2 linked regions of the Coturnix japonica genome follow. The protein of the gene in region 2 binds, or shares a complex with, the protein of the main gene of each other region. Links are inferred from orthologs where the notes say so. Each region holds a gene or a part of one and is shown on either strand. Other genes may lie near its edges. The genes, in order: MED23 and MED12.

Evidence for each region.
Region 1: MED12 (region 2) and MED23 share a complex: the UniProt entries of both Homo sapiens proteins name them as parts of the mediator complex. The link is inferred for Coturnix japonica from reciprocal best matches to the Homo sapiens genes MED12 and MED23.

The regions. Positions count from the first base shown.
Region 1 is NC_029518.1:51,921,852-51,925,670, reverse strand, and holds part of MED23 (mediator of RNA polymerase II transcription subunit 23), read right to left. Parts: intron 3,335-3,819; coding exon 3,210-3,334; intron 3,091-3,209; coding exon 2,979-3,090; intron 2,229-2,978; coding exon 2,130-2,228; intron 1,590-2,129; coding exon 1,488-1,589; intron 1,264-1,487; coding exon 1,194-1,263; intron 1-1,193. UniProt on the Homo sapiens protein: Required for transcriptional activation subsequent to the assembly of the pre-initiation complex. Component of the Mediator complex, a coactivator involved in the regulated transcription of nearly all RNA polymerase II-dependent genes.
Region 2 is NC_029519.1:2,315,090-2,318,908, forward strand, and holds part of MED12 (mediator of RNA polymerase II transcription subunit 12), read right to left. Parts: intron 3,318-3,819; coding exon 3,088-3,317; intron 2,643-3,087; coding exon 2,562-2,642; intron 2,339-2,561; coding exon 2,165-2,338; intron 1,828-2,164; coding exon 1,683-1,827; intron 782-1,682; coding exon 663-781; intron 513-662; coding exon 369-512; intron 1-368. UniProt on the Homo sapiens protein: Component of the Mediator complex, a coactivator involved in the regulated transcription of nearly all RNA polymerase II-dependent genes.

The sequences.
Region 1 (3,819 bases), on a different chromosome or scaffold from region 2:
CTTCCAATTCACTCAAAGACTGCTCTAATGCCACTGTTTGCACTAGGGATTAAATTTTGGTTAACCAACCCTTCCCCCCAAAATTGCATTACTAACATAAGTATATAACCTTTCTATCCATTTTCTTCCTTCATCCCCTAAGATGATGTGGGCAAGTATCTGTTCAAGATGAACATAGTTAAATCTAAGTGCCCATGCTACAGTTACAGTCAATGGAGATCTAGCCAACTAAGTCAATGGAGGCTCGTATGGTTCAGTAGGCTGCAAACCAACAGTTTTTCAAGTAAATTTCGACAAGACAGCCTAGATTAGACATCTGGGATTCATTTCAGTTGCTTAAGCAGAAGTATCTGAACGGAACCCCTTGTGCAAATAAGTATCTAAATTTAAGTGCCTTAACTTTGGCCTAAATCACACTGTCAGTTCAAATTCTGTGGCTTCTGTTATCCAAACTGACTATACTACTGTCACATAAAAAAGTACAAATATCTACATCTTCCCTTCAACCATTTCTTCACACGTTGAATAATGTTGTTGGGAAACAAAATGCTTTGGGATGATATAGATGATTTTACATCTTTAATCTTGTCACTTAGTTAACTTCGGTTGCAATAAAACTTCTCAAAGTTATGATATAATGCAGCCATCATTTCAAGTAATAGAAGATATTTTTATTTTATTTTTTTAAAGAAAACAGCAAGATACATCACAATTAAAACAGCCAAACTTTACCTATTTTTAGCAACAAATTAAGGTAAGCTTCTCTTTCATGGAAAATGTAGTACTCAACTAGAAAAGAAATGTTTACACATCCCTATTTGTCTGCAACAATAGGGAGGAGGCTGAGCAGGAGCTCTATTGGAAACTGAAATAAGAAAATATTCTATGGCTAACATAACAGTGGACCTGCATTAACTCAAAATCCTTACACTGGAAGTCATGATTTTCCTAAGGTCTACTCTAGTTAGAAATGATATGGCTGACCACATAACAAAAGTATATTTTCACTATCAACTGCAGTCAAAATACAAAAACTGAAGGAAGGGACCCCTAAAATAAACTGAAAAATGAAGTATACTATATGAATCAAAAGCTTTAAATCATCTTGCTTATGTAAATTCATGCCCCAAAATACAACAAAATTTTGACATATTAAACAAAAATAGTTAACTTGTTTTGACTCATTCTCTTACCACAAATGGAATTTATTCTTGCTGTAGGTCTGAAGGTATCCACGAAATCCGATACTAAATTACCTAGTAACTGGGTGAGAAGAGGAACAAAAATAGGTTAAGTTGCAGCAACATTAAGTAATGAGAAGGAATATTTAAGACTAAAATTGTTTATACATTTTAGTAAGATAAACAGAAATATACTAAAATAGAGATTTTAAAATTTTCTTATATTTGATTAAAACAAACAAAAAGACAACATATAGAGTTTTGCTCTATGAAAACCAATTGCATGATTTTAGATCTCATCATTACCCAGTGGGGAAGTTTTCCTTCAGGATATAGTTTTCTGATTTCTGTAACAGCAAAGTAGGCAGGTAACAAACACGCATTTCTTTCTAAAATGTAGGCTACCACCTGTAAGCAGAAAAATATATCAGCGCAAAAAGCCTATGAATAAGATAAACAAAGATGTAGTCTATGTACTAGCCTGAGGTAGCCCATAAAAATACATATCAGTAAGAATTAATATGCTTTTCCTTAAGTTGTACTCTGATACTACATTAGATTAATAGCTGTTTCTAATTGTACTAGTGTAAGCTAGCTTTGTTTAAACTCAAGTAAATCTGTGCCTTTACACCTGCATACACAACACTGAAAACTACTAGTACTTTCTCTCATTAAGAAAAAAAAGAAGTTAATATCTTCTCTCATTCAGCTTACCTCAGTATGCCAAACATGAAGTCTGACTCTTCCTTACCTACAGCATCCCCCAAAAGCTCCTTGTACAAAGGTATAAAACACAACTACAGAAACAATTAGAGCACAAAAAATGTCTTTGCTGGTGATCTATACCAAATCCCAAAGAAAAGCCACCCTGGATATTAAATACTGATGAGTGGCAAAAGAATGAGGCCAGTCTCTCTTTATAGCGGTATATAAAATTCAGGTAACTACCTCTCTTGCTGCTAAAAGCTGCTGTACAACAGCTGAGCTCACAGTGTTTGGAATTGTTAAGATTTTCTCGAGGATCACTTTCAGCAGATCACGTACACCCTAGAAGAAAACAAACAATGTTAATACTCCTTGATATTCTTTATTTCTGGCAGAAAAATATCACAATAAATGCAGTCAGACAGTAATAAACACCTGATTTTGCTGAAAATGCTAAACGTTAGAATGCACACTGCTACTGAGAATGTGAATATTAATAATATTAAACCCGTTCTGGAATTTCACAATCTTGGCATACCCCAGATGACAGTAATAACTGTTACAATTCTCATGACCATCCAGAGACATCCAATGAGCTTATGCAGACTGCCTAAAGATCAATCCTGTGAACTATTGGTTTTGCCTTAACAAGCCTACTAGCACTGGTGAGGCAGTACTCTGCAAGAGATACTTTGTTTTCTGCCACTTGTGTTGGATTTGTTCAGCTTTCAGCATCCTTTTCGTACATATCAACAGGAGGCAGAGGAGATACAAAAACTTCAGCTTTACTGTTTGATAGTAATACTTTTCTCTGTGTACCACTTATGCAACTGTCCTAGAGTTACTTAGCTTGTAACTAATAAAGGGATGGAAGATGACAGTGTAGTAGAAAAGAAACTGAGAGAAGGAAGATTTGCATAACTGTACAAAATTACCTACTAAGATAAAGCTCGTTTATGAAAAAGCATTAAATCTGGTCTCATTGAACTTTTTTTTTTTTTTTTTACATTTCATTTACAAAGTAAACAGTCATAAAAACAAAGCCAGTAAATAATATGTTTTCTCATAAAGAAAGAAACATAGGGAAGATACCTTATAGTCTACACCTCCAATGATCTTCCGGATCAATTTAAATGTCAATGCCCACAGCTGTGTCCTTTCCCATTCAAGCGTATCAGAGTTTATCAGAGACTCACAAACCATCCTACCAGAAGACAACGCAAGAATAAATGGCAGATAATAAGCATGTGCTCTACAGCAACACTTCAAAAATAATCTCACGCTACAACTTCCATGTATTGAGCTCACTGCATCGCAGCTTACCTGGGTGGTAAAAGTCCAGTTTCAACTGCCATTGCTAAACAGTCATAAAGAAAAGAAATTCTTTTAGGACTGTGCTGACTATGAATGAATCTTACAATCCACTGGACACACTGCTCGTGGGATTCCTGAAAAAGAAGCAGAGGGAAGAAATACTATTTACAAATAGTAAAACAAATAATAAAATTCATACAAAAGTCCCACTATGAAGAAATAAATCTTATCCCCTGTTGGTTTCATCATGCTAGAAGTCCAGTTGTCCAACATCCAGTTTTCCTTACAAGTCATTTAATATAATATTGGAAACATTTCCCACTGAAGTCATACTTCTCTACAGTCAATTCTTTTTTAATAAATGTGAATTAGCAAAGAATAGAATAAAATAGAATTGCTTTATATTGTTCTTCAGAGCTACAATCAAATTCACTGAAAATGAAGATGAGTGTATTTCAGAAAGAATGCCTACAGGTATCTAACCTTTAGAAGGTAAATTTTGAACTTCTTTTTTCTACTTACTCACTTCTACCAAAAACCCTGTAACATTTTGAATGACTGGAAAAAGACCTTATACATGAAGGATTTGTCCTTTACTCAAAGTTTTACTATACCCCGA
Region 2 (3,819 bases):
GGCAGCCTGTGCTGTCACACACCAAGGATCCTTCCAGGAGAGGAAGGCAGGAAACTAGCCAGAGAAACACATTCCCCTCCTCACTCAGAAAAAGGCCTTGCTGAAGAGGTGCAATGTAAATCCTTTGGAAACAACCCTGAAAACCTTTGGAAGAATAATCATTCCAACAGGGCACATAAGACTATCTGCTGCAAACAACCCATTCCTAACAGCTGCAGCCCAGGAGAACTGCAATGACTATCAGTTCTGACCACCTCCACAACACAGGTCAGAGAACCCTAACAGAAGCCCAGCTATCACAGCACGTATCTCCTGCCTTTCAGGCTGATGAACTGATTCCCCAGGGAACACTTCAGCACTGTGCTTACCTGGATGGCAAAGTCGATAAGACCACTGATATTGAGTGAATACTCCATCAAGTCAAAGATGAACTGCACATGCTGTACCAGAGGCAGGTGGTAGGACATGCCCAAGGCAAAGCTGGTGATCTGTTCCAAGACATTGCGGGATACCTGCAAGTGTAAGGTGACACATTGTGCTATCTCCCCTTGCAGAAGCCCCTCAGCAGCCCCAACACCTCTTCCCTGCAGGAAGCTGTCCTCAGTAACACAAAGAGATTCAGTCAGGGCCCAAAGAGGACAGCAGTCTTGAAGGTTTCATACCTGAGATGTGACTTGGTGCTGATCAAAGTGAGAAAGGTGCTGGAACTTTGCAAAGATATCTTCAGCTGTTGGGAATGCTTCTGGCTTGCTCTTTTTCCTCTTCTGGCCTTCCTCTCCACCTACAAAAATTGAGAGGACTAGAAAATAGTATCAGGCTACCTTCCTCATCAGAAGAGGAATAGAAAACAGTCATCAGCACATGCCAGGCCCTCAGCAAGACCAGACACTGCCAAGCAGCATGGCCAAAGAACCTGATCCTCCACCTGTAAGCTGATAAGGACCATTATGAATTCACAACAATAAACTGTCAAGGGAAGAATTTCTAGCCAAAGAATGACAGCACAGTTAACATCTAGCTTATCCTGAGTGAAGGGGGAAAATATATTCCCCCCCATTTAGAAGAAACACTGACTCCCTGGTGAGAACAGTTGTTCTGGACTGGAGATGGCTCAGCCCAGAAGCCTGTTAGAGCATGCCACCTTTGAAGAATCACACCATGTTTCAAGTTGGCTTTCAAGAATCAGGCCAACAAAAAGAAAAAAAAAATCCTGAAGCCAGATTCTCAATCAATAGAAATTAGAGGTTTCCTAGCAGTATTGACACAACTATCCAAACCTGCCACCCTAACCAGCATGCTTAGCATAACAGCACACACTACACTGAATCAGGGTATTTGCCTAACATTCACAGGCAAAGCTCCCGCTGCTTTTGTGCAAAGATTTAAATGGTAGAGCTTAAGAAAATAAAGTTTGAAAATGCCACGATTTTCGCCAGGGTCTCACTCTGAAACTGACATGACTTAAGCACCTACCGAAGAAGGTAGATTCAATGGAACACATCTAGGCAGGAGGAAACAAATCTTATTCGCTGCTCATTATTATTTGAGAACAGAGCACCATCCCAGACAGTCAGTGACTGATACAGCCAACCAGGCACTGCAGATCATATGAAATCCTTTCATTGTGAGACTCCAGACAAAGGAGGCAGTCAACTGGAAAGACTGGCTCAAGCAATACTGACCTGTCTCTGCAGTACTCTTTCTGTTTAAAACTTTTAGGATGTCTTTGGTTATTTTCTTGATTGTATGCCGAGCATCGTCCCGTTGTTTTCCAACCCCAAAAAGAACTACCAACCGTTGGTTACATTCATGACTGCATGATTCCTCCTGGGGAACCAAGAGAAAGAACTGCATTAGCAACTATCAAGCTGAATACTTTAATCTTGTTTCACATCTGGATCTCATAAAAGCAAAGAGAAAGCTTCATCTCAGAAGCTGCTCTGGGAGTAAGCAAAGAGGTGTCTTAAGTAGATCACTCTCCTGCAGCAATGCAGAAAAACATGACTGCACTCCTCACCCACCCACAGTAACAGAACAGAAAGAGATCAGGTTCAACTCTGTTCAGTCAGGTTCATGCTTACAGTAGTGCTGCAGGGAAACACAGCAGCCTGGTTATCAGAGCACAAGGCAGCAGCAGGAAAAGGGTTACGAGCAGGTCTCATACCTGAGGAATAGGAAAGTGTGTTGCATACTGGATGTGTCGAGGCTGGTCATACAGAGATGCTAGCATTCCTTCTGCAGACTTGTCCTTCAGCAGAGGCTTTGCTTCCTTTTCAAGATCTGGTTTCTCAGGGGAAGGGCTGGCTTTAGATTCACAATGCATTGGAGGAGAAAACATCTAGGAAGGTGCAAGAACAACAAATCAGTTAGGGAACGTGGTCATGCCATAATTAAGACAGGTGAAAGAAGCCAAGAAGAACTTTTCACAGTGTCTGCTACCTTACAAGTTAGACACTTCCAACATATCAGCTCTACAGTAGAGAGGGAGAACCCACACATGTCCCTGGTGCTAGCACAACATAATCTACTTATGAGTAGCAGGCAAAACAGCAAGCACATACCGAAAAATCTGTTTTCTCCATGTCATCAAAGATCGTGCTGGAATTGTGGTCAATGTCCATAGGCTCAGAGAGACCCGTGTCCTGAGAACAGACAGAGCAGCTTTACATCTCAATAATACACCAGGAAACAAGACAAGACTCATTTACTGCAGCACCCCACTTCCATGTTGGACAGTGACAGCAGTTTGCCAACAAGGATGATGCCTGGCAAACGAAACTCAGCCAGAATCACATATGCTGCAAACACCTGACAACACAGACTGGCCTTGCATAGCACTTGATATGCTGCTCAGAGTAAGATTTTCCTGTCTACCCTGTTACATTCTGCAAGACCTTTCTACCCACTTAGAACACAAGCCTCTACTTTTGCAACTGAAGTGCTAAGGAAATAGCTTGGGGAAATGAGAAACATGAGTCACTGGTCCATCTTCCAGCAAGTAATAGCAAGGAGTCTGCAAAGCTGGTATGAGTGGAGAAGCAGAACAAGAGGAAGCACATAAAAGAGCTGCGTATCTTGTATTCTCACCTCTAGCTTGATCCCACTGTTTCCTTCTGTCTCCTTCCTGTCATGCTCCTCAGCAGGGTCATCAAAGGGTGAGGGAGGACGAGGTCCATGAGAATCCATGGCAAGATCACCCCGGGAGATGAGTGTGCACATGTAGATATTGTGAGAGAAGACATCATGTCGGATTAGCTCACAGAACAGCAGCACCAGGTTAAAAAACTCCACCTTCTCATTCTCCTTCCCAGGATCAGCTGAAAGGAGAGCAAAGACAGACAGTGCTATCAGAGTTCCTCCGTAACACTAAGAGCAGCAGCAGATACCACACCTACACCCACAGAGAAAGCATTTCTAGAGATCTCAATACTCTAAGTGACTGATACACAGTTCTGAGACTGCAGCAGAAGTCAGAACCAGAAAGCCCACCTTCAACAGGTGGCAAATAAAGAAGTGAAAATCTTTCCATTTAGAGGTACAGGATTTTAGACTGAAAGTGCCATCCCTGGGTATACAAACACACAGTTCCCCGCATCATTCAGAATTGTATCCTGCCCCCTTTAATTAATCTGCTTGTAATAATTACACTGAGAGGTTACTTCAGAGCTTTGTCACTTACAAGTTAGAAACTCTCAGCCCAAATTAACTCCAAACTAGCCTATGCTCATTTATTCTTGGTCAACATTCAGCTAACACGGGCTTCTGCATTACCTTCCTCCCCAAAGCGTGCTCTGGACTGCAAGGAAGCCAGAGAGATAA